Linked DNA regions of Anolis sagrei. The protein of the gene in region 3 interacts with the protein of the main gene of each other region in a pairwise test. Links are inferred from orthologs where the notes say so. Each region holds a gene or a part of one and is shown on either strand. Other genes may lie near its edges.

Region 1 (7,954 bases), on a different chromosome or scaffold from region 3:
ATGTCTTCTAGCTTGCGGTTGATTTTTTCTTGTGTTTCTTCCAGTTTAGCTACATCTAATTGATTTTTTCTCATTTCCTGTCTCATGGCATCCATTTCTTTTTTCATTTCTCCCAGTTCGTTTGTGATTTCTTTTCTCATTTTTACCATTTCCTCGGTCAAATCGTTCTTAAGTCTCATTCTTTGATCTTCTGCAACCTTTTGATAGGCATCTTGTTTCTCTTGATTTGCTTCTTGTTGCTCCAGTATCTTCTGTATTTCCTTTAATATCTCTTTTCCTGTTGGGTTGCCGGATACTGATCCTCTTCTTTGTTCTGTTGGTTCAGTCTTTTCTATTTTATCAGTTTTGTCAGTTTTTTCGATTTTATCTGTCTTGATCTTGGGTGTTGTCATTTTTAGCCAGTTCTTCAAAGCTCCTCTTATATATATTTTGGCCTCCGTTTTGGTAAGTTTGAACCTATTTTCGTAGGCTTATCTGGGAGCAGTATATCTGAGGTTGCAGTTGTTCTGTATTTTTTTTTTGTATTTATTTTCCTGTTTGTGGTTTTTTTTATTTTATTTTATTTTATTATTATTATTTTTTATTTTTTATAATATTCGGTTATTATTGTTTTGTTATTATTATTGTTATATATGTGTGTATATAAGTATATGTATTGTTTTGAAGTTTGGAATATATGACAGTGTATCTTGAATCTGCTGTGTCTGTTGGTGTCTGCTAATTCCTTCCTTGTTCCTGGATTCTTGCTCTTCTCTCGTTTTTCTATACTTTACTAGCTCTATCTTAGGTTCCTTGTTCTTTGTTCTTTATTAGTCTCGCGATTCCTGCCTCTCTAGGTTTTCCTGTCTTTCGTTTTACCATCCTGTGGGAGGCTTCTCTCAGGTCCCTGCATGGGGAACTGGAGCTAGACAGACAGGAGCTTACCCCGCTCTCCGGATTCAAAATGCCAACCTGTCGGTCGATTAGTCCTGCCAGCAGGAGGGTTTAACCCATTGTGCCACCGGCGGCTCCTTGGCCATCTCCAAAAGACTATGGAACGACCTGCCAGAAGAGATTCAACAGCTAAATCAGCTGTTGGGATATAAGATACAGCTGAAGACCCATCTCTTCTGGCAGGCCTATCCAGTCAATTTTAAATGGGGAATTTTAACTTGCATGTTATTGGTATTGGTGTTAGTCTTTGTTGTGTGCACTTTAATATGTGTATTTTATAGAACTATATTTTAATATGGGCATTTTATTGAATGTATTCTATTATAATATACTAACCGTCCCCTGCCATGTGTTGCTGTAGCCCAGTCTGTGTATATGTGTTTTGTGTGTCCATTTGTGTATATGTGTGTTTGCATATATATGTGTGTGTGGTTTTGTGCATGCGTTGTAATGTAATTTTTGTTTTTTGATTTTTAAAGTCTCTTTTGCTGTGTTTTCCAGTGTTTTTTTGTGAGTGATGGTAACTCATTGGCCTGATAGGTGTATTGTGTCCAAATTTGGTGTCAATTCATCCAGTGGTTTTTGAGTTATTTTAATCCCACAAACAAACATTACATTTTTATTTATTTAGATATGTGTATATGTGTGTGTTTGTGTATGCATTGTAATGTAATTTTTGTTTTTTGGCTTTTTAAGTCTCTTCTGCTGTGTCTTTCACTGTTTTTATGAGTGATAGTCACTCGTTGGCCTGATGGATATATTGTGTCCAATTTTGGTGCCAATTCACCCAGTGGTTTTTGAGTTATGTTACTCCCACAAACGAACATTACATTTTTAGTTATATAAATTCTGTGTTATGATCAAATGATGTGAATGAATAATTTTTGTATCACTACTATTATTGTTGTTATTATTGTCACGTTGTCCATTCATCCTGTGGTCTCTGGTCATTCTGCCTTCCCTCCCACAATCAGGTATCGCTGTAATGGTCTATCATACATATTTGAGCATTATCGGATGTGCATCACAAGCCTGTATGATGAGCCATTTTGTCCTATCTGCAGGTTTACACCTATTTGGTATATCAGCGTCATCATCCTTATTCTGGAGCCCCCGGTGGCGCAGTGGGTTAAACCCCTGTGCTGGCAGGACTTAAGACTGACAGGTCGCAGGTTCAAATCCGGGGAGAGGTGGATGAGCTCCCTCTGTCAGCTCCAGCTCCTCATGCGGGGACATGAGAGAAGCCTCCCACAAGGATGATAAAAACATCAAATCATCCAGGTGTCCCCTGGGCAACATTCTTGCAGACGGCCAATTCTCTCACACCAGAAGCGACTTGCAGTTTCTCAAGTCGCTCCTGACACGACAAAAAAAAATCCTTATTCTGTGTCTGGTGGACATAGAGACTTCTGGACCAACATCAATGCTGCAAAACTGCTTTTCATAGTAGCTGTCAGACAGAATAAGAGCATGATGGCCAAGATCTTACATCCCAAAGGGGGAATGTGTATTTCCACCAGTTGTAACTGTATCCAGGCCCCAGAAGCCATGAGATCCTATTAGTGTCATAGAACGAAGGCTTTCGTTTCCCAATTGCCAAGTTTGCTCCTGCAGAATTCTGGGAAATGTAGTTTAGGGAAGCCAAGGACCTCTCTGGCTGAGAATTCCAAAGCCTTCTCCCTGGACTACATTTCCCAGAATTCTGCAGGAGCAAACTGGCCAATTGGGAAATGAAAGCCTGTGTTCTATGACACTAATGCGAACTCCTTGTGTCCTTCGCTTTCTGGCAATTCAAAGTGCACAAACTTTGATTCACGCACAAATCGATTAAGAATATTGTGAATGTATGAAATTACATACAAGCTACATGACATAAGTGAATCAATGGATTTCACATTTAGAATTAGGTCTTCCCCCCATTATGTGTGTGTGTATAGAGTGAGTAATTCTGGCCTACGATTCCCATTGCCCCTTGCGCGCATTTCTTCCTTAGGAAGCACAGCCAGCTGGCCCCGAGGAATCATGGGGGCTGTAGTCCCACCGCTCTTCTCCACTCTACGGCGACAGGGGCCGGCTGTTTGCAAAGCGGGGAAGAGGCTGCGTACCTGGTAAGCGGGCAGGAGCCGGAGGAGGAAGCAGGCGAGGGCCTCGTCGCAGTGGAAGGTGCCGCTGTGGGTCCCGATGCGGGCCGGGTGCGGGCGCTTCGGGCCCGGCATGGAGAGGCAGAAGCGGCGTGGAGCTCCGACCAGAAATCTGAGCATGCGCATAGCGAGGGAGGCCAAAGCCACGCCCCGCGGAAGGTCCAGAACCCCTGTGACGTCAGAAGCAGCCAAGAGGGCAAAGAGAACAAAAAAAGAGGCAGCGGTGGCGCAGAGAGTTAGAGCCATGCGGTCATTCCTGGCCTGCAAGGTGGCAAGTTCGCAAGTTCGAATCCCGCTGGGGACCACCTTTAAATTTGTTATTCTAAAATACACATTTAGAGAGCTATATATACCGCCCAGCGTTATAGAACGGAGACAATCGGAGTTGCTCCTGCAGAATTCTGTGAAATGTAGTTCAGGACGGAGACCTTGGCATGCACAGCTAGAGAGGTGCTTGGCTTCTTTAAACTACATTTCCCAGAATCTGCGGGAGCACGTCAGGCGCTAGACCCAGCAGGGGGCTGAGGTTCGCGCTGACGTCATGCTGAGCCTACCTAAGCCACCTGGGCACGTTCCTATTAGAGCTAACGCTAGCAGATGTCATGGTCCTCAAACACTCTCGGCTTCATTCGGAAAAAGCTGCACTCGCAGAGCTCAGGCGGTGTTGTATTTTGGTGTCGATATTGACTTTGGTGGAGCGGTGGCTGCCAAGGTAGCGGAAATGGTCAACATTTTCTAATGTTACACCATTAAGCTGTATCAGTGGCATTGGAGAGGGATTGGCTGAAGACTGCTGGAAAGCTATTAATAAAACTATTGTCCTCGCAACCCTGCTATACGCTTGCGAGATGTGGACTGTCTACAGACGTCACATGCAACTCCTGGAACAATTCCATCAGCACTGCCTCCAGAAAATCCTGCAAATCTCCTGAGAAAACAAGCGGACAAATGTCAGCGTGCTGGAAGAAGCAAAGACCACCAGCGCTGAAGCGATCGTCCTCTACTCCGAACTCAAGAACAGAAAACTGAATGTTGGTGGGCAGGAAAAGAAATTCAAAGATGGGCTCAAAGCCAACCTTAAAAACTCTGGCATAGACACTGAGAACTGGGAAGCCCTGGCCCTTGAGTGCTGTTTTCAGCTGTGACCAGCAGTGCTGCAGAGTTTGAAGAGGCACGAATGGAGGGCGAAAGAGAGAAACGTGCCAAGAGGAAGGCGCATCAAGCCAACCCCAACCAGGACCACCTTCCACCTGGAAACGGATGCCCTCACTGCGGGAGAAGATGCAGATCAAGAATAAGGCTCCACAGTCACCTATGGACCCACCAGTACATTGCTCTTGGAAGACTACCCTACTCAGACAACGAGGGATCGCCTAAGAAAAGAAAGGCTAATGCTAGCACGTGATTACGCAGATGCATAGGCAAGCCTATGTAGAGAGCTGGAAGAAGAAACAGTAATAGTTTGATAGTGTTATACTGTTTCCGCTTTGCTCCTTCGAGAGCTCTGTTTGCGCAACGCAGAACAGAACACATGACCGAGACAGAGACTGAGGTACTGTAAGCCAGGCTGAACATAGATATTATAGAAGGAATGTAAGAGTTCTTTAATGGTAAAACCCTAACCCTAACCCTTACCCTGAGCCTCCCCTCCTTTCTATCCTTCCACCAAATGCAACTATGAAGTATATTCGTATGGCCAGCTGCGACCATACCTCGTGAAGTCTGACTTGTCCATGGTGGTCCACGCCTTAATTACCTCTAGACTGGATTACTGTAATGCACTCTACATGGGGCTACCCTTGAAGATGGCCCAGAAACTACAACTTGTCCAACGTTCGGCAGCCAGATTAATAACTGGTCGACCCCCATGTTTAAGGAGCTCCACTGGCTGCCGTTTATTTTCCGGGCCCAATTCAAGGTGCAGGTTATCACCTACAAAGCCCTAAACTGTTTGGGACCCACCTACCTTTGTGACCCTATATCCCTCCATGAACCAGCCCGGGCCCTTCGATCTTCAGGGGAGGCCCTCCTTTCACCCCTGCCAATCTCACAAGCTCATCTTGTGGGCACAAGGGAGAGAGCCTTCTCCTCTGTCGCTCCCTGACTTTGGAACTCACTACCTGGAGAGCTCAGGAAAGCCCCTACACTAGAAACGTTTAACATAAACCTTAAAACCTGGTTCTTCCGCTGCGTCTTTGGCGAGTAGGTACACAAATTGACACTATTGTTCCCCTCAACGCTTCTGTCACTGGAGTACACGCCCCCAAACGGAAAGTTTAGTTTTACCTCCCTGTGTGTCTTTATGAGCTCCCTGCAAATTACTTGCTCCTATTTTTATCTCATTAAGAGTATTTTAACGTTTTATCCTGTACATGTGGCCCACTCACTGTTACTGTGATTGTGTTTATTGTAATGTTATTTTGTTACTGTATTCATATCGGGTTTTTTTCTTATGTAATTTTGATGATGTTGCTTGTTTATGCTTTGGTTTTATTTTGCTGTAATATGTTGTTTGGGCTTGGCCCCATGTAAGCCACTCTGAGTCCCCATTGGGGAGATGGTGGCAGGGTATAAATAAAGATGATGATGATGATGATGATTATTATTATTATTACTACTACTACTACTATATTCAGTGTGCCGCTCTTCCCGCTCTCACTCCGCCCCTTCTCTGGGCCATGTGGTCCCTTTCCTTATTCACAACCACTGTTGCGGAATGTGCATAATGCTGAGCTTCCAGACCCATCTATCATACCAGTATGAAGATTCCCCGTAGTATCCTATAGATGTGAGAGCTGGACCATAAGGAAGGCTGAGCGAAGGAAGATAGATGCTTTTGAACTGTGGTGCTGGAGGGAAATCCTGAGAATGCCTTGGACCGCAAGAAGATCCAACCAGTCCATACTCCAGGAAATGAAGCCAGACTGCTCATTGGAGGGAAGGATAGTAGAGACAAAGATGAAGTACTTTGGTCACATAATGAGAAGACAGGAAAGCTTAGAGAAAACAATGATGCTGGGGAAAATGGAAGGAAAAAGGAAGAGGGGCCGACCAAGGGCAAGATGGATGTATATGGTATCCTTGAAGTGACTGGCTTGACCTTGAAGGTGCTGGGGATGGCCACAGCCAACAGGGAGCTCTGGTGTGGGCTGGTCCATGAGGTCACGAAGAGGCAGAAGCGACTGAATGAATAAACGACGACGTAGATTTCAGGATAGCTCTGGATGCAACTTCTGCATCCAAAGGGGTTTCCCCCCAAGGAAAAAGAGAATTAGCATTAATATCCATGAGAAAAGGGAGATGAGAATGTGGATCCTGAATGGAACATGATCTGCGGTGTTGATTATGTAATTCTCCCCTAACTTTTCTGACATTAAATCACTTGAGAACTGGATTACCAAAAATGAACTAGTAAAACTAGTAAAAGGGAGGAACATGTCAGCATCACCCAGTTATTGACAAGTGCATTATGGAGATATAAAACATATTTTTTAATTTTTATTTCCATTTTACTGTTTAATGCTTTAGGACAAATCCTACCATTAGTAGACCCTCAAACTAAGTGTTGACTTCACAAATCCTGTTTAATCAATGGATCTGTGCCACTTGGAAATAATTGGAGTTAGTCCCAGTGGCACAATGGGTTAATCCCTTGTGCTGGCAGGACTGCTGACTGCAAGGCTGGTAGTTCAAATTCGGGGAGCGGGGTGAACTCCCATCTGTCAGCTTCAGATTCTCATGCAGGAACATGAGAGAAGCCTCCCACAGGATGGTAAAACACGTCCCCTGGGCAACGTTCTTGCAGACAGCCAATTCTCTCACACGAGAAGCAACTTGTAGTTTCTCCCGACACACAAAAAGCCCATAATGTTTAGTATTGTCTTGCTTCAGTCTATTTGAGCATACCATCCTGAAATCCATCCACTTCTGAATCAATATAAACTATTTACATTTTAAAATATTTTTATCACAAGAAAATTGATAGTGTGACCTTATATGAATTTACTTGTTCCTCTGGACACCTCTCAGCCAAGAATGTGGAGGACTGCAGTGTAAATAAATCGCACTCAAATGATTGTGTTGTCACAAAGCAATACATGTTTATTAATAAGGTAACAGCATATTACACTTACAACTTATGAAAACAGGATTCAATCATTCCTTATCATGTCAATAAAGCTCTGGATTTTTTTTATATTATATCTTCTCTTTTATCCATTAGAAAAAAGCCCAAAGATGTACAAAGGAATAAAAAGATAGCAATCACCTCTATTCTTCATCATCAGAACTACTATAATTAAATATAGATTTGTCTCTTTAAATCATTCCACTGATTTTTTTAATATAAAGTGCATTGCATGGCCATTTAAATTACACAAGGCAACAAACAAGAGATGATTTGTGTTTCACATTTGGAAAGAAGCTACTCCTCTTGCACTGTATGTGTCTGTAGATAGATAGATACATGTTTGACGTTCACATGCAGAGTTGGGGGAAAAAATCCAGCATCTCTCAAAAAAGAGCAGCTTTCAAATGTAATTGTTCTTAAAATGTCTAAAATCTAATTGGGTTTTATAACAGAACATTGTCAACTTATATTAAATTGCTATTTACACATTGAATTAAGCCACATAATCTGGTGCAAATTGTTCAGCATAGGCGTTTCTAGCGAATTTAATGTATGGGCTAAGTATCAAAAGCACTCACCCCATTTCTTTAGAAAAATATAGTGGCCAAGTGTGTTCTATGAATGGCTGCAGGACAACTTATTTACTTAGATCCTGGATACTTCCAAATGGAAAGCTCAGACACAGCTGGACTAAACTCAATAGGCAAAACTTGGAAAAGCTACTCCTTTGGACTATTTCTTTTGGCCAAGT
Region 2 (8,050 bases), on a different chromosome or scaffold from region 3:
GAACTACAACCCCAAAATCCAAGATCAAAGCCCACCAAATCCTTTTAGTGCAGTGGTTCCCAACCTGGGGTCCCCAGATGTTTTTGGCCTACAACTCCCAGAAATCCCAGCCACTTTACCAGCTGTTAGGATTTCTGGGAGTTGAAGGCCAAAAACATCTGGGAACCCCAGGTTTAGAACCACTGTTCTAGTGTTTTTTGTGGTCATAGGAGACATGTGTGCCAAGTTTGGTTCAATTGCATCGTTGGTGGAGTTCAGAAATCTCTTTGATTGTAGATGAACTATAAATCCCAGCAACTCCAAACAAATGACTCCAGATGTTTAGGTTTGCTTATATACCGGGCATGGGCAAACTTGGGCCCTCCAGGTGTTTAGGACTTCAACTCCCAAATATCAAGGTCTATTTTCCCCAAACTCAACCAGTGTTCACATTTGGGCGTATGGGGTATTTGTGCCAAATTTGGTCCAGTGAATGAAAATTCATCCTGCAGATCCGATATTTTCATGACGATTCATAACAGTAGCTAAATGACAATTATGATGTAGTAACGAAAATTATTTTATGGTTGAGGGTCACCACAACATGAAGAACTGTGTTAAGGGGTCGCGGGTTTAGGAAGGTTGAGAAACACTGCCCTAGAGGGTGTTCTTGAAACCTGCCAACTTTCCATACAAGACTAAGGTAGACACACGTTAACAAATGGTGTAACCTTATTATTAGTTGTTAAATACCAATTTCTATGCAATTATCTGAATACATCTTAAAAACTAGAGGGACGGTTTGGCTGCCAAGGAAATGATAATCATGAACTGTGAAGGGAGAATTAACTGTACACTTAAATACACATGTACAACAATTCAAAGGAACAATTTGCTAGTTCACAACCCAAAGATTAGCAATTATTTCAAGAGGCACTGAATTATGGGTAGGAATTAAGCAGATAAGATCAAAACAAAATGTATTGTCGAAGGCTTTCATGGCCGGAATCACTAGGTTGTTGTTGGTTTTTTCGGGCTATATGGCCATAGTCTAGAGGCATTCTCTCCTGACGTTTCGCCTGCATCTAGCCATTGAAATACACAAGCATGTGGACAATTTCAACAGAAAGGAGGAAACCATGAAAATGAACAAAATCTGGCTACCAGTATTAAAAAACTCAAAAATCACAACAGCACAACAACAGAGAGGAAACAAACAAGGACATCCAATCACCTCTCAACAAAAGTTTGCTCCAGGCACTGTCAGGCCATTATATGCTAATCAAGGTGGTCAGTTGAAACATTCACGCCTAGCTCCAGCAGACAAGAGTCCTTTGTCTCATCCTGGTCATTCCACAGATATATAAACCCTTTTCCCTAGTTCCAACAGACCTCACTACCTCTGAGGATGCTTGCCATAGATGCAGGCGAAACATCAGGAGAGAATGCCTCTAGACCATGGCCATATAGCCCGAAAAAACCTACAACAACCCAAAACAGAATGCCTTGGGATATTGACATTTGCATTTCTGTGTTATCATTTAAATAAAAACATATTTTGAAAGACAGCGTTCGTGCATTGTATCACTTTTCTTGTAACAGCAAAAACATTACAAGTCCTCAGAACCACCAGGTTTCCAATGTGTGCTCTATGCAATGCAATTGTATATTTAACCTTTCCAGTTAGACATCTGCAGCAAGCAATCCAGCTGTGGTATTCTTATCAAGCACAAGGTAGGAACAAAACTCTCAATGGAAAAACATGTCCAAAGCTCCACCTTGTGGACTGAAGTATGTTTGAAACAATAAGAAAAGAAACTGAATGCATTTTGTGTATTACCCAAAATTATAGCAGAAAAGAAACTTTCAGGATTTTGACTAGATCGCCATTAAAAAAAAAGCACAACAATTTGTTGTCAAGACTTCTCTAAAGTCAAGGAACAATCAACTTGCCCTAAAACAAGAGAGGAGTTGACCCGATGTGGATAGTATCCAAAGTTTATTCTCAGAAGGTAGTTCATAAGACATTAAAACTGTAACTGATTCCATCTTCTGCGTGTGAAATACCATGATCTTTATATTCACTTTTATATTGTTTTATCTGTTTCTTCAGCAGCCACTCTCAGTAGAGAGTTTTAGAAATGTATTGTAGTATTCACAAGGTAGATGGCACATTGTTTCAGAAAAATATGCTAAAAAAACCACATTAAAAATGTGACAAAGAGAGCGTAAGCCAACTGAGAATATCAGGTAAGCAAAACTCGAGAAACAAAACTATATATTTAAACACTGGAGGATTCAAGGAGCATATTTTGGGAACAGATTATCTTTGCTTATTTTTGCGATTGAAGTTTTGTTTACCTGCATACACTCTCATTACATTAATTTGAGCCCACATCAGCCATGACAAATGACTCCAGATGTTTAAGTTTGCTTATATACCGGGCATGGGCAAACTTGGGCCCTCCAGGTGTTTTGGACTTCAACTCCCACAATTCCTAACAGCCTACCGGCTGTTAGGAATTGTGGAAGTTGAAGTCCAAAACACCTGGAGGGCCCAAGTTTGCTCATGCCTGGTATATATACCTTTAGAAAACCTCTGACACAGTCAACTACCATGTAATTGTGTTCATTTTGCCCATATTTTCTGTTGCAAGCAAGCTATGATTTACTAAATTTACTAAATTACAGTAGAAAGATCCCACAGCATAAAATTGCATTTCATCCGCTCATTTTTGGTCACATGCAGGAAAGAAAGAGTTAAGGAAGGCACAGTGTATTAGGAGCCAATGCACTTACCTCTTCAACTGTCAAAGGCATACAGATCCGGTACTCCTTCATGAGCATATTCCTACACATTCAATGCAAAACAGCAATCCAGGAGAAATGTGATCACAGTGCACTCTGAGATATATATATATATTCAAAAAATATTAAAATTGCCAAGATCACCAGCACCCTGCAGTACGTGTGCCTGACAGCGTATGTGCAATGTGCCGCTGCCACTATCTAGAAAGCTGATCCAGCAAAAGGGAGAATGAGAGAGAGAGAGAGGAAAAAAATCCTATTTCTTCTATCTTCCTATTTTTCTGCTTCAAAATGTAGTCATGTGGTTTTTTTCCACAAACACAAAGGAGTCTCAAAGATAAACTGCTCTCATTGTGAATTCAAAGGAATCCACGAGAAACCTTGTAAAAGATGGAATTTCCTCGCAGTTCTATCAAGACATTCTTGGAGCAATAGGGGAAAAAAATAAGTAAAAATAGCTGAAGCAGTCCAAGATGGTATGGTAGTATCAGCAGTAGTGGCAGGAGACTGGATCAGCCAGCGGCAGAGATGAGATGCTGCTGACTTCCAAGACAAAGGCTTTGTAAGGTTTCCTTCCCAGATGGGTAAACAAGGTTCTGTTCACCTTACTGTACTTCAACCTCCAGCATTAGTGCACTGGAAGGGAAAGAGACAGGATGTGCCTTGGCTCTTCCTCCCACCTTTGATCATTCCTGGGGGCTGGGTTTCCCCACCACAGCCTGTAGTAAGGATCTGTATCTGGTTGCCTTGAGAAGTCTCTGCAGCAGCAGCAAACCTTAGGAAGGGTGTGTGAAAGAGAGTGGCTCTGACATCAGCAGCCACAGCAGGAAGGATGGCCCCATCCGGCCAATAGGGAAATGGCACCGCAAAGAATGCGAGCCTTTTAAACAAAACAGCATGTCCCTGCTCAGGAGCCAGTGAGCAAAGTGGAAGCAAATTGTAGTCAGACACCATCAATATCAAAGGATGATTTTAGTGGTGTTCCCGAACACCAATGTCACGCCATTGAGTAAAACCCAAACAGTTGAAACTGGCATAAGGGAAACCAGAAGTCGTTCCAAACAGTATGAATGTAAAAGCATAGAATCATGGAATCAAAGAGTTGGAAGAGACCTCATGGGCCATCCAGTCCAACCCCCTGCCAAGAAGCAGGAATATTGCATTCAAATCACTCCTGACAGATGGCCATCCACCTCTGTTTAAAAGTTCTTGTGGGTTTTTTCGGGCTATATGGCCATGTTCTAGAGGCATTTCTCCTGACGTTTCGCCTGCATCTATGGCAAGCTTCCTCAGAGGTGAGGTCTGCTGGAGCTGGGAAAAAAGGGGTTTATATATCTGTGGAATGACCAGGGTGAGACAAAAGGCTTTTGTAAGTTGGGCTGGGTGTGAATCTTTCAACTGCCCACCTTGATTAGCATACAATGGGCTGACTGTGCCTGGAGCAAACTCTTCTTGAAGGGTGATTAGATGTCCCTGCCTGTTTTTCTCCCTGCTGTTTTTGCTGTTGCAATTTTAGAATTTTTTAAATACTGTTAGCCAGATTTTGTTCATTTTCATGGTTTCTTCCTTTCTGTTGAAATTGTCCACATGTTTGTGGATTTCAATGGCTTCTCTGTGTAGTCTGACATGGTGGTTGTGAGAGTGGTCCAGCATTTTTGTGTTCTCAAATAAAATGCTGTGTCCAGGTTTGTTCATCAGGTGCTCTGCTATGGCTGATTTCTCTGGTTGGAGTAGTCTGCAGTGCCTTTCATGTTCCTGGATTCTTGTTTGGGCGCTGCGTTTGGTGGTCCCTATGTAGACTTGTCCACAGCTGCGTGGTATACGGTAGACTCCTGAAGAGGTGAGAGGAATCTTCCAAAGAAGGAGCCTCCACCACACTCCGGGGCAGAGAGTCCCACTAAAACATTGTGCAGGTTAATAGAAGGAAATACGATCACGACGGTTAAATCAATCTCGACACGTGAAATTAGCAATGTGAAAATACTTCAATAGCAGCTCACAGTGTTGAAAGGGTAACCACTGCGGGACTCCATCTACACTGTGGAATTAATCCAGATTGATACCACTTTGAAAGCCATGGCTCAATCCAAGGGAATCCTGGGAGTTGCACTTATGCCCCTTCTACACAGCCATGTAAAATCCAGATTCTCTGCTTTGAACTGGATTATATGGCAGTGTAGACTCATATAATCCAGTTCAAAGCAGATAATGTAGATTATCTGCTTTGATAATCTGGATTATATGGCAGTGTAGAAGGGGCCTTCGTCTTCTCTGCCAAATAGTGCTGGTCAGGCATGTAGCGGGGGGGGGGGGGGCGCTTGAGGGGCTTCAGGCCCCCCCCCCCCCCGAAATTCTGATGGTGGTTCGCGAAAAGGCCTTACTGGTGCATTATTTAAACTGTTATGTTTATTCATATCATGATCTGATCACCATACTCAATATATCCCATATGCATGGGGTTATTGGGGTAATGATACAAAAGGTTTGCTAGGGTAGACCCTCTTTCACTCAGACTCAGCCCCCCGAAACTCAGCCCCCCCCCGAAACCCCCCCTGAAAAAATTCAGCCCCCCCCCCCCCCCCGAAACAAAATCCTGGCTATGGGCCTGGTGCTGGTGCATGATTCCCTAACTTTGAGCCATGGCAGCTACAGTGGTGTTAATTCCACAGTGTAGAAAGTGGCGCAGCGGGTTAAACCACTGAGCTGCTGAACTTGCGGAATGAAAGGTCGGCGGTTTGAATCTGGGGAGCAGGGTGAACTCCCGCTGTTAGCCCCAGCTTCTGCTAACCTAACAGTTTGAAAACATGCAAATGTGAGTAGAGCAATAGGTACTGCTTTGGCGGGAAGGTAATGGTTTTCCGTGGCCCCATGACCTAGGAGGTGTCTCTGGACGTCAGCTCTTTGGTTAGGAATGGAGATGAGCACCACCCCCCAGAGCCAGACACAACCAGACTTAATGTCAGGCAAAACCTTTACCTTTACCCTGGATGCACCCCAAATCATCTTTCTTTTTTACATGAATCAGTCACTAGTAATTCAGACCACACTGGCAATTATCTTAACAAATCATTTTTCAGGCCTGCAGGGTAAGGTGTTTCATACATAAATCTGCTGCAACTGCCCTGAGGAATGTCTTGATAACAAAGAAGTGTATCTTGATAAATGATAATGAAATTGGCAGCTCTGGAATCTCAATCTCCAGAAGCATTCAAGCAAATGTAAATTAGTCATTGGGGAGGGGAGGGGGGAATCTCATGATGATACACAGATCACCAGCAAAGGAATCCAGAGCAACACAAAGAGCCCCTCCACACAGCCCTATATCCTAGAATATCAAGGCAGAAAATCCCACAATATCTGCTTTGAATTGGGTTATCTGAGTCCACACTGCCATATATTCCAGTTCAAAGCAGATTATGTGGATTTTATTCAGCTGTGTGGAAGGGGCCTTAGTTGGAAGGGACACAGGCCCCTTCTGCACTGCCATATAATCCAGATTATAAAAGCAAGTAATGCACATTATATGTTTTGAACCGGATTATCTGAGGCCCCTTCTGTACTGCCATATAATCCAGATTATAAAAGTAGGTAATGCACATTATATGTTTTGAACTGGATTATCTGAGGCCCCTTCTATAATGCCATATAAAATCCAGGCTATCTGCTTTGAATTGGATTATATGGCAGTGTAGACTCATATAATCCTGTTCAAAGTAGAGAATGTGGATTATCTGCTTTGCTGAAGCCCCCGGTGGCGCAGTGGGTTAAACCCATGTGCCAGCAGGACTGAAGACCGATAGGTCGCAGGTTCGAAACCGGGGAGAGGCGGATGAGCTCCCTCTATCAGCTCCAGCTCCTCATGCAGGGACATGAGAGAAGCCTCCCACAAGGATGACAAAACATCAAAATCATCCGGGCGTCCCCTGGGCAACGTCCTTGCAGACGGCCAATTCTCTCATACCAGAAGCGACTTGCAGTTTCTCAGGTCGATCCTGACACGACAAAAAAAAACTGCTTTGCTAATCTGTATTATATGGCAATGTAAGAGAGGAAAAAAATATCCTTAATCATTCCATTTTCCCCTGGATTTAGTTTTCCGCCCAGCACATCCCTTAACATCAGCCAATAAGCCTTATCAACCTCAGCCATCAGTTCTCTTGTTCCTTGAAACAACTCTGCTACTTCTTCCCCAATGTGCCTTAATATTTGGAATTGCTTCCAAGAGGGAGCCCCATTATTTCCCAAAAATCCCACTTCGCACTTAACATACTTGTAAATGAAATACCGTAATCATTGATAACCTCAACCAGACTGTTTCCCTTCTTCTGACTGGTTTTCCCCTCCTGTGCATCTATTTATAAACTGCAAAGTCCCCTGAGACAGGAACTTGACAAACTTGTTCTCTGAAAAGTGCCATGTAAACAGATGGCGAGATTTTTTAAAATATATTTGTCTTATTTGTATTGGGCCAGATCCAAGGACTCACACACAGGAAGAAAATAGCCATTGACATTGCTCTGGGGAGAAAAAAGCATAAGGACAAGGTGAAATGAGGCTTTATCAACCGCAGCCATTCTTGGGCAATCTTTTGAGCAAAGTTTGAAGCTGAAAAATACAGTGCTTTTCGGCTGGCTTTCATTTTTCTTATGCAACATTCCAGCATGATGTGCAAGACAGCTCTTATTAGCAAATCATTCCTGCCAGCAGTTCAAACTCATTATTTTAAGTGAGCTGCTAGAAAGAAATGTGATATACATGTCTTAAATAAATGAGAATATTTTTTTCCAATAGTAGGCACAAAATGCTTCAGAAAGAAATTTACTATACAGAAGTGAAAGGACAAACATGGGATATACAAGAACAGGGTACAAGAACCTCACCCATTTCCCTTTTGTTTAACATTAACAGCATCTGTCTAATTCTGGAACTATGTGTAATTACAGGGCTCTCCAATGGTTATTTTAATGGCGTGCCAGCCAGGAGCCCCTGGCTTGAAACCGATCTGACCTGCAGCAGGGAGTTCCACAGTTCCTGGTTGCCCAACTGGGCCAGCGTCTCGGTGGCATTTTCTTCAACTTGGTGAGACTTTTATTGGAAAATCAGGGAAAATTGTGGGATTAACATAACTCAAAAACCACTGGACGAATTGACACCAAATTTGGACACAATACACCTATCAGGCCAACAAGTGACCATCACTCATAAAAACACTGAAAGACACAGCAGAAGAGGCTTAAAAAGCCAAATAAATAAAAATAAAAAA
Region 3 (7,671 bases):
CTTCTGACATTACAATAAATAGAGGAATAATGAATAGAATGGTGGTGGCGAGGAATATAATAATAATAATAATAATAATAATAATAATAATAATGAATATTCCATAATTTAAATAATTATGCATACAATCATAATCTAATGTCATAATAATGAATATAATACATATAATAAAAATATAATATTATAATAAATATGACAATAATGATAATAAATACAATGATAATGAATAGATTGACATGAATATAACAAATATAATAATAAATATACAATAATAATTACAATATATAATACAATAAATATTAAATAATATAATAAACATTAATGAATATAATAAATAGAATGATCTAATATGATAATAAATATAATAATAAATAGAATGATGATAAATATAATAAATATAATATACCGTAATAATTATAATGTATAATATAATATAATAAATATAATATTAATGAATATAATAAATATAATAAATATACAGTAATAATAAAATGTATAATACAATAAATATTAATGAATATAATACATATAATATTAATGAATAAATATAATGATATAATATGATAATAAATATAATAAATATACAGCAATAATGAAATATATACTACAATAAATATTAAATAATATAATTAATATAATATTAATGAATATAATATATATAATGATCTAATATGATAATAAATACAATAATAAATAGAATGATGATGTATATAATAAATATAATATACAGTAATAATTATAATGTACAATACAATAAATATTACATAATATAATCAAAATAATATTAATGAATATAATAAATAGATTGATCTAATATGATAATAAATATAATAATAAATAGAATGATGATAAATATAATATACAGTAATATAATATAATAATATAATTATATTATACTATATAATAATATAATATAATATAATATAATAATATAAGTATAATATAATCAATATTAATGAATATAATACATAGATTGATCTAATATGATAATAAATATAATAATAAATAGAATGATGATAAATATAATAAATATAATATACAGTAATATAATATAATAATATAATATAATTATATTATACTATATAATAATATAATATAATATAATAAGTATAATATAATATAATCAATATTAATGAATAAATAGATTGATCTAATATGATAATAAATATAATAATAGAATGATGATAAATATAATAAATATAATATATAGTAATATAATATAATAATATAATATAATTATATTATACTATATAATAATAATATAATATACTATATTATAATAATATAATAAGTATAATATAATATAATAAATATAATATTAATGAATATAATAAATATAATAATAATCTAAGAAATATAATATAATAATAAATATAAGAAATATAATTTAATCTAATCTAACAATAATATAATAATATTAATACTAGCAATAATGTCCCCAAAAACAAATGTTACGACTAAATCGGGCTTGCCTTGGTCGCTGCAATTCATTGAAAGCAATGACTCACGGCGACTCAAAGGTAAACCATAAACAACATCCTATTTTCCTTGGGTCACTTCTGGATGCTTCAGCTCATTCGCACGGCCGGCCGGCCGGGGATTTATCAAGTTGCATCACACGAGGAAGGAAAGAAAGGAGAATCACAAGAATGCCTTGGGAGCCGCTTTCGGTTGAATTTCAAGGCCGCGCCAGCATCTTCCCCATTTTTGGACTATTTTGCAAAATGCAGGAATTTCCAAGCATTCGGCAGCTTTCGGTTTTTCCATTTCGAAATTGCTTTTCTAGCATTTGCATGGCGTACGGTGACCCCATTAATATAATAATAATAATAATAGTTATTGTTGTTATTACTTTTGAAAACTTTTCCTACCTCGTAACATTGATTTACAAGGACATGCAAGCTGTGCCCCTTATAATGGAGAGAGCGAAAGTAACTTCTCTAAAACCCTATGGGACAGCCAAGGTTTTTCCCCTCCATCCTGGTGCCTCGCACTAGGTAAAACTCACAATTATTAACTGCCCCCCCTGCACACTCGTTTTTAAATACTTGGTGCTTCATTGGTCTTTTACACAATTGTTGTTGTTGTTGTTGTTGTTATATTTATTTACACACTTCTGTGAGCCTTCCCTTATATGCAATCCCTTTGCACAATCCTGGTGCACACTCACCTTACACTTCCGTCAACTCTTCTCTTGTAGATAATCCCTTTGCACAATCATAGTGCACACTCTTCCATTGACCCTTCCCTTGTAGACAAGCCTCGTGCACAAATCATAGTGCACACTCCCCTTACTCTCTTCCATTGACCCTTCCCATGTAGACAAGCCCCTTGCACAATCATAGTGCACACTCCCCTTACTCTCTTCCATTGACCCTTTTCTTCCTGTGCACAATCATAGTGCACACTCTCCTAAAACTCTTCCATTGACCCTTCCCTTGTAGACAAGCCCCTTGCACAATCACAGTGCACACTCCCCTTACTCTTCCATTGACCCCTCCCTTGTAGACAAGCCCCATGCACAATCACAGTGCACACTCCCCTACTCTCTTCCATTGACCCTTTTCTTCCTGTGCACAATCATAGTGCACACTCTCCTAAAACTTCCATTGACCCCTCCCTTGTAGACAACCCCCTTGCACAATCACAGTGCACACTCCCTACTGTCTTCCATTGACCCTTTTCTTCCTGTGCACAATCATAGTGCACACTCTCCTAAAACTCTTCCATTGACCCCTCCCTTGTAGACAACCCCTTGCACAATCACAGTGCACACTCCCTACTGTCTTCCATTGACCCTTTTCTTCCTGTGCACAATCATAGTGCTCATTCTTCTAAAACTTCCATTGACTCTTCCCTTGTAGACACCCCCTTGCACAATCATAGTGCACACTCCCTACTCTCTTCCATTGACCCTTTTCTTCCTGTGCACAATCATAGTGCACACTCTCCTAAAACTCTTCCATTGACCCTTCCCTTGTAGACAAGCCCCTTGCACAATCACAGTGCACACTCCCCTTACTCTTCCATTGACCCTTCCCTTGTAGACAAGCCCCATGCACAATCACAGTGCACACTCCCCTACTCTCTTCCATTGACCCTTTTCTTCCTGTGCACAATCATAGTGCACACTCTCCTAAAACTTCCATTGACCCCTCCCTTGTAGACAACCCCCTTGCACAATCACAGTGCACACTCCCTACTCTCTTCCACTGACCCTTCCCTTTCCATGCACAATCATAGTGCACACTCTCCTAAAACTTCCATTGACCCTTCCCTTGTAGACACCCCCTTGCACAACCATAGTGCACACTCTCCTAAAACTTCCATTGACCCCTCCCTTGTAGACAACCCCCTTGCACAATCACAGTGCACACTCCCTACTCTCTCCCACTGACCCTTCCCTTCTATGCAACCCCTTTGCACACTTCCCTTTCACTCTTCTGTTGACACTTGTAGAAGACCCCCCTTTGCACACTCGTTGTTGCACGCTCACCTTGAGGTTGACAGAGGGGACCTCCATGGTCCTGGGCTTCCTTCTTGACTTTCTTTCTCTTTCTTTCTCTTTCTTTCCTTTCCTTTCTGGTCAGACCCGGGTTCTGCTTTGCTTTGCTTTTCCGCTTCTGCTTCTCTCTGCCTGGGGCTCCTCCCCACAGCCAGCCTCATGACTCCTTCCCCAGAAATTGAGCAAAAAAAGCCACAGCAGAGAAACTCCTCCCTCCACTCCTTCCTTCCTTCCCTCCAAGGGAAGAGGACTCACTCTGCAAGTGTAGACAGGAGGGGAACCTTAATGCGAATTAAAGCCCCCCCCCCTGGTTCTGGGTTTGAGTGCAGACAGAGTGACACTCTCTCAGCCTCAGGAAAGGAGGGCATCACTGACATGCTAAATAATATTAAATAATAATAATAATAATAATAATAAAAAAAATAGTATAATATTCCCATTTCAATAATAATAATAATAATAATAATAATAATGCTAAATAATATTAAATAATAATAATAGTATTATATTTAATATTATAATATAGTATAAAATAGTATAATATTCCCATTTCAATAATAATAATAATAATAATGACATTAAAATATTAAATGATATTAATTAATCGTAATAAATACTAAACTACTCCCATTTAAATTCTAAATAATATTTAATAATAATAATAAATATAATATTTCCATTTCAATAATAATAATAACAATGACATTAAAGTATTAAATATTAATAGTAACAAATACTATACTAGTCCCATTTAAATTCTAAATAATATTTAATAATAAATAAATATAATATTCCAATTTCAATAATAATAATAATAAACAGTATACTATTCCCATTTAAATTCTAAATAATATTTAATAATAATAATGAGGATGACATTAAAATATTAAATGATATTAATTAATAGTAACAAATACTATACTGTTCCCATTTAAATTCTAAATAATATTTAATAATATAATATTCCAATTTCAATAATAATAATAATAATGACATTAAAATATTTAATAATATTCCCATTTTAATTATTATTATTTACAATAATAATAATAAACAGAATACTATTCCCATTTAATTCTAAATAATGTTAAATAATAATATAGTATTCCAATTTCAATAATAATAATAATAATGACATCAAAATATTAAATGATATTAATTAATAGTAATAAATACTATACTATTCCCATTTAAATTCTAAATAATATTTAATAATAAATAAATATAATATTCCAATTTCAATAATAATAATAATATATAATAATAAACAGTATACTATTCCCATTTAAATTCTAAATAATAATAATAATAATAATATAATATAATATTCCAATTTCAATAATAATAATACTTAATAATAACAGGATAATATTTCCATTTCAATAATAATAATTTATAATAATAATAAACAGTATACTATTCCCATTTAAATTCTAAATAATATTTAATAATAATTGTACAGAAGTGTTTATAATAATATGCGTATAACTGTATTTATGTTTGCATTGGTTGCCCTAAGGCTGGAGCGGCCTAGCTGTGAGAAATGTGTTACCATGGAAACGAGGCAGAAGAGGAGGTGGGAGGAGCTTAGAGAGTAAAGGTTTTAAAAAGTGACAGTTAGAGTCAGTCAGGGGAGAAAGACTCTGAGAGAGCAGCAGAGTCAGTTTTAGACTCTGAGGAGTGAAGAAGTGAAGAGCCAGGTTTTAGTGTTCGTGAATAGTAGAGATTTCTTCAGCTGGACCTTAGGGAAGGCTGAGCGAAGGAAGATCGATGCTTTTGAGCTGTGGTGCTGGAGGAAAGTGCTGAGAGTGCCTTGGACTGCGAGAAGATCCAACCAGTCCATCCTCCAGGAAATAAAGCCCGACTGCTCACTGGAGGGAAAGAGACTAGAGGCAAAGTTGATGTACTTTGGCCACATCATGAGGAGACAGGAAAGCCTAGAAAAGACAATGATGCTGGGGAAAGTGGAAGGCAAAAGGAAGAGGGGCCGACCAAGGGCAAGATGGATGGATGGCATCCTTGAAGTGACTGGACTGACCTTGAGGGAGCTGGGGGTGGTGACGGCCGACAGGGAGCTCTGGCGTAGGCTGGTCCATGAGGTCACGAAGAGTCGGAGACGACTGAACGAATGAACAACAAGGAAGCTGAAGGGGAAAACCTTGTTAGTTGCTTTAGTTAGAAAGAACTAACAGAGGCTTGCTAGGATCGCTAGTCGGAGAAAGACTGGAGATCTGTGATTTGATCAAGTATAGATCAAACAGAAAGACCATTCATTGCAGGGAACACTGGTTAATAAAGCGCTTCACCACAGCAAGAGTTCATAAGTTGTAACATCGAAAGTCTGAATTGTATCGCAACCAAGTTACATGTAACCATCAAGTATTTGCCAAGCTTAACATCTTCATACTGCAACCATACGCTTTGTTTAAAAATAAACTTGTTCTCTTTGGTTTTTAAAACTGCCTCATCTCCATTAATTCTACGTTCGGTGCACCCACTCTACCAAAATTACCTCACAACACAAACAGAGCTTTAATACCAGAGCCTTTTACAAATCAGTGGCTCCTCTCTCCTAAATCTAGGCGCTTCCTCACTAGTCGGTAGCGTCTCTCTACAATTGGGTGGCAGCTTCATTACCAGTGGCGGAGGTTCTTTACAATAATAAATATAATATTCCAATTTCAATAATAATAATTTATAATAATAATAATAATAAACAGTATACTATTCCCCTTTATATTCTAAATAATATTTAATAATAGTATAATATTCCAATTTCAATAATAATAATAATGACATTAAAATATTAAATAATATTAATAGTAATAAATACTATACTATTCCCATTTAAATTCTAAATAATACTTAATAATAATAGTAGAATATTCCAATTTCAATAATAATAATAATAATAATAATGACATTAAGTATTAAATATTAATAGTAATATATACTATACTATTCCCATTTAAATTCTAAATAATATTTAATAATAATAATACAATATTCCCATTTAAATAATAATAATAATGATATTAAAATATTAAATGATATTAATTAATAGTAAGAAATACTATACTATTTTCATTTAAATTCTAAATAATATTTAATAATAAAAATAATATTTAAATAATAATAATAATATATAATAATAATAAACAGTACACCATTCCCATTTTTAATTCTAAATAATATTAAATAATAATAATAATAAATATACTTTTCCCATTTAAATTCTAAATAATATTTAATAATAATACAATATTCCAATTTCAATAATAATAATAATAACATTAAAATATTAAATGATATTAATTAATAGTAATAAATACTATACTATTCCCATTTAAATTCTAAATAATATTTAATAATAATAATAAATATAATATTCCAATTTCAATAATAATAATAATAATAATAATAATATATTACAGTATACAATTCCCATTTAAATTCTAAATAATATTTATTAACAATAAACAGTATATCTCCATTAAATTCTAAATAGTATTAAATAGTATTTAATAATAATAATAAATAATATTAATATTTCCATTTACATTCCAAATGCTATTAAATAATAATACTAAATAGTATAACACTGCCCTTTAAATTCTAAATAATATTAAATAATAATAATAAATAGTATAATATTCCCATTTAGATAATAATAATAATAAATATAGTAAAAATAAATAGTATAATATTCATGTCGAACCATGAGGACTAGAAACTTAATTCTTTTTTAGGATCCGAAAGCCAAGAAGGAAGACAAGCCGGTGTGTGCGAAGGATAGCTATCTCTTTATTTATTTACAAATAGGAAACAGGCCTAAAAGGGGGGACGGGGACGAGGGGTCCGCACTGCAGAACTGAAGCAGAACTGAAGTGGTTTGGTTCCTCTGTGCGGACGGACGGAGGGGCGGACGAGGCCTAGGTGGCCATGAAGGAGCCCCGGTCGGGGTCGGCCGAGCCCGGTTCCAGGCAGCGGCCCCTGCGACGCGTCACTCGCCGGTTGCGGTGGAATTTGGCAAAGCAGCGCAAGCCTGGAAGGAAAGAAAGAAGGAAAGAAGGAAAGAGAAAGAGAGGAAGAGTGACAAAAAGGAAGCATCCCCAGAAGAGACGGAGGAGGGAAGGAAGGAAGAAGGGGAGGATGGATGGAAAGGT
Region 4 (8,134 bases), on a different chromosome or scaffold from region 3:
GGGGATTCTGGTTAAGTTGGGACAAGTTTCTCATCCATATCCCGTGCAACGCTATTGGTATCTTCTATGCAAGAGCAATGAGAGTAATATTCTAATATACTAGATTTCCATATAGCAGTGGTTCCCAACTTTTTTTGACCAGGGACCACTCTCCAACATTAGTACCAAAAATAGTACTCAATTATTATTATTATTATTATTATTATTAATAAAATAAAAATATTGATTTATTTTCTGGTCCCTAATAACAGCGCTCCATGCAGTCATGCCGGCCACATGACCTTGGAGGTGTCTACGGACAACGCTGGCTCTTCGGCTTAGAAATGGAGATGAGCACCACACCCCAGAGTCAGACATGACTGGACTTAATGTCAGGGGACTACTTTTACCTTAATAATAGCTGCCTTAGGTCACAATCTATAGAAAAACATTATTATTATTATTATTATTATTATTATTATTATTATTATTATTATTATCATCTGAAACACCACGAGATGAGTCCACAGCAGACACTCTGCCGACTGTTGTATTGGATCACACGTCGGACACTTCCCAAGTGTCTAGGACTGTGTGATGTATCGGCAAATAATGCGTGCAGATCCCAGTAGGGTGGCCTTTTCCAGCTGGCAGGTGACGGATGGTAATTTTGTCAGCGCTGATTGTGCTTGAGTGCAGGCCAAGGTCTTCAGGCACTGCACCCAGTGTGCCAATTATTATTATTATTATTAGAAACACAACAAGATGAGTCCACAGCAGACAAGATCACTCTGCTGGCTGTTGTATTGGATCACATGTCGGACACTTCCCAAGTGTCTAGGCACTGCACCCAGTGTGCTGATCACCACTGGGACCACTTTGCATCTCAGTTGAGAGAAACATAGAGTAATAATAATCTATATAAATAAAAATGTAATGTTTGTTTGTGGGATTAACAGAACTCAAAAACCACTGGATGAACTGACACCAAATTTGGACACAATAAACCTCTCAGACCAACGAGTGACCAACACTCATAAAAACATTGAAGAACACAGCAGAAAAGACTTTAAAAGCCAGAAAACAAAAAAAAAAAACACATTACAATGCATGCGCAAAACCACATATCTATGCAAACACATATATATACACAAATATAAACACACATATATGCATATATACACACACAAAGCAAATATACACGGGAAGGGGAAGAAAGGAAGGAGAGAAAGAGGGAAAGAAGGAGGGAAGGAGAAAATGAAGGAAAGAAAGAAAGGTAGAGAAGGAAATAAAAAATGAGAGAAGGAAGGAAAGAAAGAGGGAAAGAAGGAGGGAAGGAGAGAATGAAGGAAAGAAAGAAAGGTAGAGAAGGAAGGGAGAGAAGGAAATAAAAAATGAGAGAAGGAAGGTAAGAAAGTGGGAAAGAAGGAGGGAAGGAGAGAATGAAGGAAAGAAAGAAAGGTAGAGAAGGAAGGAAGAGAAGGAAATAAAAAATGAGAGAAGGAAGGAAAGAAAGAGGGAAGGAAGGAAGGAAAGAGACAAGGAAAGAAGGAACCAAAGAGCAAAGGAAGGGAGGAAAGAAACAGGTAAGAAGGAAGAAAGAAGAAGGGAAAGTACAAGGGGAAGAAAAAGAAGCAAGGAAGGAAGGAAGGAGAGAAAGAGGGAAGGAGAGAATGAAGGGAAGAAAGAAAGGTAGAGAAGGAAGGGAGAGAAGGAAATAAAAAATGAGAGAAGGAAGGTAAGAAAGTGGGAAAGAAGGAGGGAAGGAGAGAATGAAGGAAAGAAAGAAAGGTAGAGAAGGAAGGGAGAGAAGGAAATAAAAAATGAGAGAAGGAAGGAAAGAAAGAGGGAAAGAAGGAGGGAAGGAGAGAATGAAGGAAAGAAAGAAAGGTAGAGAAGGAAGGGAGAGAAGGAAATAAAAAATGAGAGAAGGAAGGTAAGAAAGTGGGAAAGAAGGAGAGAAAGAAAGAAAAAATGAGAGAAGGAAGGAAAGAAAGAGCGAAGGAAGGAAGGAAAGAGACAAGGAAAGAAGGAACCAAAGAGCAAAGGAAGGGAGGAAAGAAACAGGTAAGAAGGAAGAAAGAAGAAGGGAAAGTACAAGGGGAAGAAAAAGAGGCAAGGAAGGAAGGAAGGAGAGAAAGAGGGAAGGAGAGAATGAAGGGAAGAAAGAAAGGTAGAGAGGGAAATAAAAAATGACAGAAGGAAGGAAAGAGAGAGTGAAGGAAGGAAGGAGACAAGAAAAGATGGAACCAAAGAGCAAAGGAAGGGAGGAAAGAAACAGGTAGAGAAGGAAGAAAGAAGGGAAAGTACAAGGGGAAGAAAAAGAGGGAAGGAAGGAGGGAGGGAAAGTAGGAAGGAAGGAGAGAAAGAAAGAAAGAAAGAAAGAAAGAAAGAAAGGGAGGGAGGGAGGGAAGGTTGGCCACAGCAACATGTGGTGGGTAAAGCTAGCAATAATAAGAATAAGAATAAGAATGTATACATCTATCAATACACATAATAAAAGTGAAAATGTGTGTGTGTTTGTGTGTGTGGGGCGTCCATTTTGACATTGCAGGTTATAGTGAGCGCCGTAAACATGTCCAAGCAGAATTGATCAACAACTGAACATACTAGAGAGGTTTGGGGAGAAGTCACCATGATTGATAGGAATTGTAGGTCCTGGGATGTATAGTTTGCCTGCAGTCTAAGAGCACTCTGAACAAGACCAACAATGGATCTGGAGCTCACTTGGCACACAGAACCCCCCTGACCAACCAAAAATAACTGGAGGTATTTGGAGAGATTGAGAGTTGTAGTTCACCTATATCCAGAGTACACTACGAACCCAAACAAGGATGGATCCGGACCAAACTTGGCCTGTGTACCCGATGTGCCCGCATTTGAATACTGGTGTGTTTTGAGGGGAACTGGCCTGGACATTTTGGAGTTGTAGGTACTGGGATGTATAGTTCGCCTGCAATCAAGGAGTACTCTGAACTCCACACAAGATGGAATTGGACCAAACTTGGCCCACAGAGCTCCCATCACAAGCAAACAATACTGGAGGTCTTTGGGGAAAATTCACCTTGATTTGGGGGAGTTGTAGTTCACCTACATCCAGAGCACACTGTGAACCCAAACACTGATGGATCTGGACTAAACTTGGCACACAGACCTGATATGCCCAAATTTGATTGCTGGAGGGGTTTGGGGAAAACTGACCTTCCTTTCTGGGAGCTGTAGTTCACCCACAACAAAAGAAACTGTGACCTCCACCAATGATGGACCTGGACCAAACTTAGCACACAGAATCCCCATGACTAACTCAACCAACTGGAGGGGTTTGAGGGCAGTGACTCACCATAGTGGGAGTTGTAGTTTACCCTGCACACTGAACCCCACCCATGATGCACCCAGAGTAAACTTGCCCAACATCACAAACTCCAAGTACTGATGGAGTTTCAGGGGGTTATATACACAATGAAGACAAAGTAAATAAACTTTTCCAAACTCTGCTGCTTGGAGGCTGCTTAATTTGCATGCAATTCACGTTTCCTAATTGCAATTAGGGGAAAACATGAGTGGACTCACCTTGTTTTCTTGCAAAACTGGCGCGCCCACTCTCTTGCTTTGCTGAAGTTCAAACTAAGCCCCGCCCCCTCCCTTGCGCTGCTCTGATTGGCTGCTCGCCTTAGGCCCGGGCTCCTCCCCCTCTCAAGCTGCCCCTCCCGCGCCGGCGCTCTTCCCTTGGCTAGATCTATGGGCACGTGCTCTCTGCCTCCCTCCAGTGGTCATATTTGAGCACTGCAGCGTGCCATGTCTTTTCTGTGTCTTTAGATGTTTACTTACTTATTTTGTTGTTTCTTCTCTTTCCGTTTTGATTTCCAAATTTTGCACTCTATTTTCTATTATTATTATTATTATTATTATTATTATTATTACTGAATAAGACTTGAGTTTTCCTCTAACTTATTATTATTATTATTATTGAATTAATAGCATTAAATTTATTATTAATTGAACTTGCTGGTCCCTTCCAACATTATTATTATTATTATTATTATTATTATTATTAGTGTTTGGACCTTCTAGTCCCTTCCAACATTATTATTATTATTATTATTATTATTGATTGGACCTTCTGGTCCCTCCCTTCCCACATTATTATTGCTATTGTTATTATTATTATTATTATTATTATTATTATTATTATTATTATTATTATTGGACCTTCTAGTCCCTTCCAACGTTATTGTTATTATTATTATGGATTGAACCTTTTGATCCTTTCCAACAGTATTATTATTTTTATTGATTGGACCTTCTGGTCCCTTCTAAAATTATTATTATTATTATTATTATTATTATTATTATTATTAATTGAAACTTCTGGTCCCTTCCAACATTAATAATAATAATGATGATGATGATGATTGAACCTTCCAACAATATTGTTGTTGTTATTATTATTATTGTTATTACTGATTGGACCTACTAGTCCCTTCCAACATTATTGTTATTATTATTATTGATCCCTTCCAACAGTATTATTATTATTATTATTATTATTATTATTATTGATTGGACCTTCTGGTCCCTTCCAAAAATATTATTATTATTATTATTATTATTAATGATTGAATCTTCTGGTCCCTTCCAACATTAATAATAATAATAATAATAATAATAATAATAATAATAATAGAACCTTCTGGTTCCTTCCAACATTATTGTTGTTGTTGTTATTGTTGTTATTGTTATTATTGTTATTATTATTATTATTATTATTACTGATTGGACCTACTGGTCCCTTCCAACATTATTGTTATTATTATTATTGATCCCTTCCAACAGAATTATTGTTGTTGTTGTTGTTGTTGTTGTTGATTGGACCTTCTAGTCCCTTCCCACATTATTATTATTATTATTATTATTATTATTATTATTATTGGGCCTTCTGGTCCCTTCCAAAATTATTATTATTATTATTATTATTATTATTATTATTGGGCCTTCTGATTCCTTCCAACATTAATAATAGTAATAGTAATAATAATAATGACTGAACCTTCTGGTCCCTTCCAACATTATTGTTGTTATTATTATTATTATTATTATTATTATTACTATTATTATTGATAGGACCTTCTGGTCCTTCCAATGCTATGATTTGATATTACTGTTGTTGTTGTTGATTATCTATTGTGGCCCACATTTCTATACTATTATTCTTATCGATGATGTGTATATCATTCTCTATAACAGTATTATAATAATAATTGTTGTTTTTGATTTATGGAACTGGCATTGCTTGGATTAGGTATTTTCTGATTCCATTAATTATTAATAGTTATTGTATTGTCGAAGGCTTTCATGGCCGGAAATATTGGGTTGTTGTGTGTTTTCCAGGCTGCCTGGCCATGTTCCTAAAGCATTCTCTCCTGACGTTAAGCGTGCATCTGTGGCAGGCATCCTCAGAGATTGTGAGTATTTTATTATTATTAAAATGGACTATCCCCTCTCTATCACCCCCTAGTGGCGTCTGCCTGTATAATGGAACAGTACCTATTATTAAGCCCCCCCCCCCCTTGGTGGTGCAGCAGGTTAAACCGCTGACCTGCTGAACTTGCCGACCGAAAGGTTTATGGTTCAAATCCAGGGAGCAGAGTGAGCTCCTATTGTTAGCCCCATCTTCTGCCAACCTAGCAGTTCAGAAACATGGAAATGTGAGTAGATCAATAGGTACGGCTCTGGCGGGAAGGTAACGGCGCTCCATGCAGTCATGCTGGCCACATGACCTTGGAGGTGTCTGCGGACAACACCGGCTCTTCAGCTTAGAAATGGAGATGAGCACCAACCCCCAGAGTTGGACACGGCTAGACTTAATGTCAGGGGAAAACCTTTACGTATGCCTCTCTATCGCCTCCTAGTGGCCTCCACCTGGATAATGCAACAGTACCAAAAAACACACAGTTTTCAGTGACTGTTTTTATTTTGGGACTTATTCCGTCCAGTACAACATCCTGAAATGACTGAGCTCCTCAACCGTCCCTTGACGAACGCAAAAGGAATGGAGGCAAAGCAGCGTCCCTCCCAACTGAGACCCGAAGGACCGGATGTCGAATCACTCTCGGTATCATCCGTCCGTCCGTCCGTCCCCGCCTCATCCTCGCGTGCTTCAGAAAGGACGATGCCAAGAATAACTTGAATAACTCCACAGGAACACACTTTTCCTCTTTGACTCATTGGCTGCTCATTTTCAAAGCTTGCAAGATGTCCACTAGAAATTTCAGCCTTTTGTTCCTGTGTAATCCCACTCACAGAGTTACTGGACACCTCATCGCTGGCCTCTGCTCCAATGACAGTATCTAAGTCGGCTCTTGTGTGAGAGCTTTGGATTGTGTAGGGAAGGGTATGGGTTTTCTTTTTTTGCTCCTAATGCAGTGTTTCTCAACCTTCCTAATGCCGCAACCCCTTCATACAATTCCTCATGTTGTGGTGACCCCCAACCATAACATTATTTTCATTGCTACTTCCATAATTGTAATTTTGCCACTGTTCTGAATCGTCATGTAAATATCTGATCTGCAGGATGTATTTTCATTCACTGGACTGAATTTGGCACAAATGCCCGTTACACCCAAATTTGAATACTGGTGGAGTTGGGGGGTGGATTGATTTTGTCATTTGGGAGTTGTAGTTGCTGGGATTTATAATTAACCTACAATCAAAGAGCATTCTGAACCCCACCAATGATAGAATTGAACCAAACTTGGCCACACAGTACTCCCATGACCAAGAAAAAATACTAGAAGGGTTTGGTGGGCATTGACCTTGAGTTTTGGAGTTTTAGTTCACCTACATCCAGAGAGCACTGTGGACTCAAACAATGAAATATCTGGACCAAACTTGCCACAAATACTCAGTATTCCCAAATGTGAACACTGGTGGAGTTTAGGGCAAGTAAACCTTGACATTTGGGAGTTGTAGTTGCTGGGATTTATAGTTCACCTACAATCAAAGAGCATTCTGAATCCCACCAATGATAGAATTGGGCCAAACTTTCCACACAGAACTCCCATGTTTTGAAGGGTCTTGCTGGCCTGAGCCTCCCTCCAGTCTTGCATGATCTCCCTCGCCTGCACATGCGCACCATGCTTCTATGCACTGAGCACACCTGCTCTCCCCTCCTCGCATGGTGTGTCAGAAACAGCCCTCCCATTATCTGAGAGGCTGGCCAATCACAGCAAAGAAGGGCTTTTGGTGGAAAAGAATGACAGGCGGAGAGATCTTCAGCTTTCTTTGCCAAGGGAGTTCCAAAGACTATCAGTACCATCAGACCATCAGCAGCCCCCTCACAGCCTCCCCCCAGGGTTTGCGACCCCCAGATTGAAAAACTTTGCTATAGAGACTTATATCATTACATATGTGCATTTTCAGCATCCTGTGATAAATAGAAGTGGGTCAGGGGAAATCTTTAATGAATGCCCCTTGTATAACTCCAGCCAAGTATATCCATAGTACGCATCAATTGAAACCGATCCTGTGTAATCCCACTCACAGAGTTGCTGGCCACCTCGTTGCTGGTGTCTACTCCAATGAGAGTATCTAAGCCAGCTGTTATATGAGAGCTTTGGATTGTATAGGGAAAGGTTTGGTTTTTTTGCCCCTAATGGAAAACCCACAATTTGGTGCTGCCTGGAAGCACCCTGAGTTAAAGGTCCCATCGGTACCAAAATCAAGTGTTGTTTCAAAATTGTCTATCGTTGCCGCCGTCGTACTAAAGTCTGCGTGGCTTGAGCATTGGGTGACGACGCCGGGACGCTCTCCTTGGCTCCTCGTTGGGGTGACCCAGCCTCCTTTGTATGGATAATTGTCCTCTGAAACCCTCTCGCGACCCCCCCCCCCCCCGGGTCGCAACCCCAGATTGAGAAACGCTGCTATAGAGACTTATATCTTTACACATGTGCAGTTTCAGCATCCTGTGATAAATAGAAGTGGGTCAGGGGAAATCTTTAATGAATGCCCCTTGTATAATTCCAGCCAAATATATCCATAGTACGCATTCATTGAAACCGATCCTGTGTAATCCCACTCACAGAGTTGCTGGCCACCTCGTTGCTGGTGTCTACTCCAATGAGAGTATCTAAGCCAGCTGTTATGTGAGAGCTTTGGA

What was found.
Region 1: the proteins of AGTRAP (region 3) and MYG1 interact in binary tests that used the Homo sapiens proteins (3 or more experiments, as listed by UniProt). The two-hybrid records come from large-scale screens. The link is inferred for Anolis sagrei from reciprocal best matches to the Homo sapiens genes AGTRAP and MYG1.
Region 2: the proteins of AGTRAP (region 3) and PITPNC1 interact in binary tests that used the Homo sapiens proteins (3 or more experiments, as listed by UniProt). The two-hybrid records come from large-scale screens. The link is inferred for Anolis sagrei from reciprocal best matches to the Homo sapiens genes AGTRAP and PITPNC1.
Region 4: the proteins of AGTRAP (region 3) and PIMREG interact in binary tests that used the Homo sapiens proteins (3 or more experiments, as listed by UniProt). The two-hybrid records come from large-scale screens. The link is inferred for Anolis sagrei from reciprocal best matches to the Homo sapiens genes AGTRAP and PIMREG.

What each region holds. Positions count from the first base shown.
Region 1 is NC_090022.1:190,944,948-190,952,901, forward strand, and holds the start of MYG1 (MYG1 exonuclease), read right to left. Parts: upstream 3,336-7,954; 5' UTR 3,321-3,335; coding exon 3,039-3,320; intron 1-3,038. UniProt on the Homo sapiens protein: 3'-5' RNA exonuclease which cleaves in situ on specific transcripts in both nucleus and mitochondrion. Involved in regulating spatially segregated organellar RNA processing, acts as a coordinator of nucleo-mitochondrial crosstalk.
Region 2 is NC_090022.1:180,381,829-180,389,878, forward strand, and holds the start of PITPNC1 (cytoplasmic phosphatidylinositol transfer protein 1), read right to left. Parts: upstream 3,621-8,050; 5' UTR 2,839-3,620; coding exon 2,779-2,838; intron 1-2,778.
Region 3 is NC_090033.1:10,224,516-10,232,186, forward strand, and holds the start of AGTRAP (type-1 angiotensin II receptor-associated protein), read right to left. Parts: upstream 3,686-7,671; 5' UTR 3,524-3,685; coding exon 3,497-3,523; intron 1-3,496. Other genes in the region: draxin, read right to left, coding at 7,438-7,550. UniProt on the Homo sapiens protein: Appears to be a negative regulator of type-1 angiotensin II receptor-mediated signaling by regulating receptor internalization as well as mechanism of receptor desensitization such as phosphorylation.
Region 4 is NC_090031.1:28,578,268-28,586,401, reverse strand, and holds the start of PIMREG (protein PIMREG), read right to left. Parts: upstream 3,626-8,134; 5' UTR 3,550-3,625; intron 1-3,549. UniProt on the Homo sapiens protein: During mitosis, may play a role in the control of metaphase-to-anaphase transition.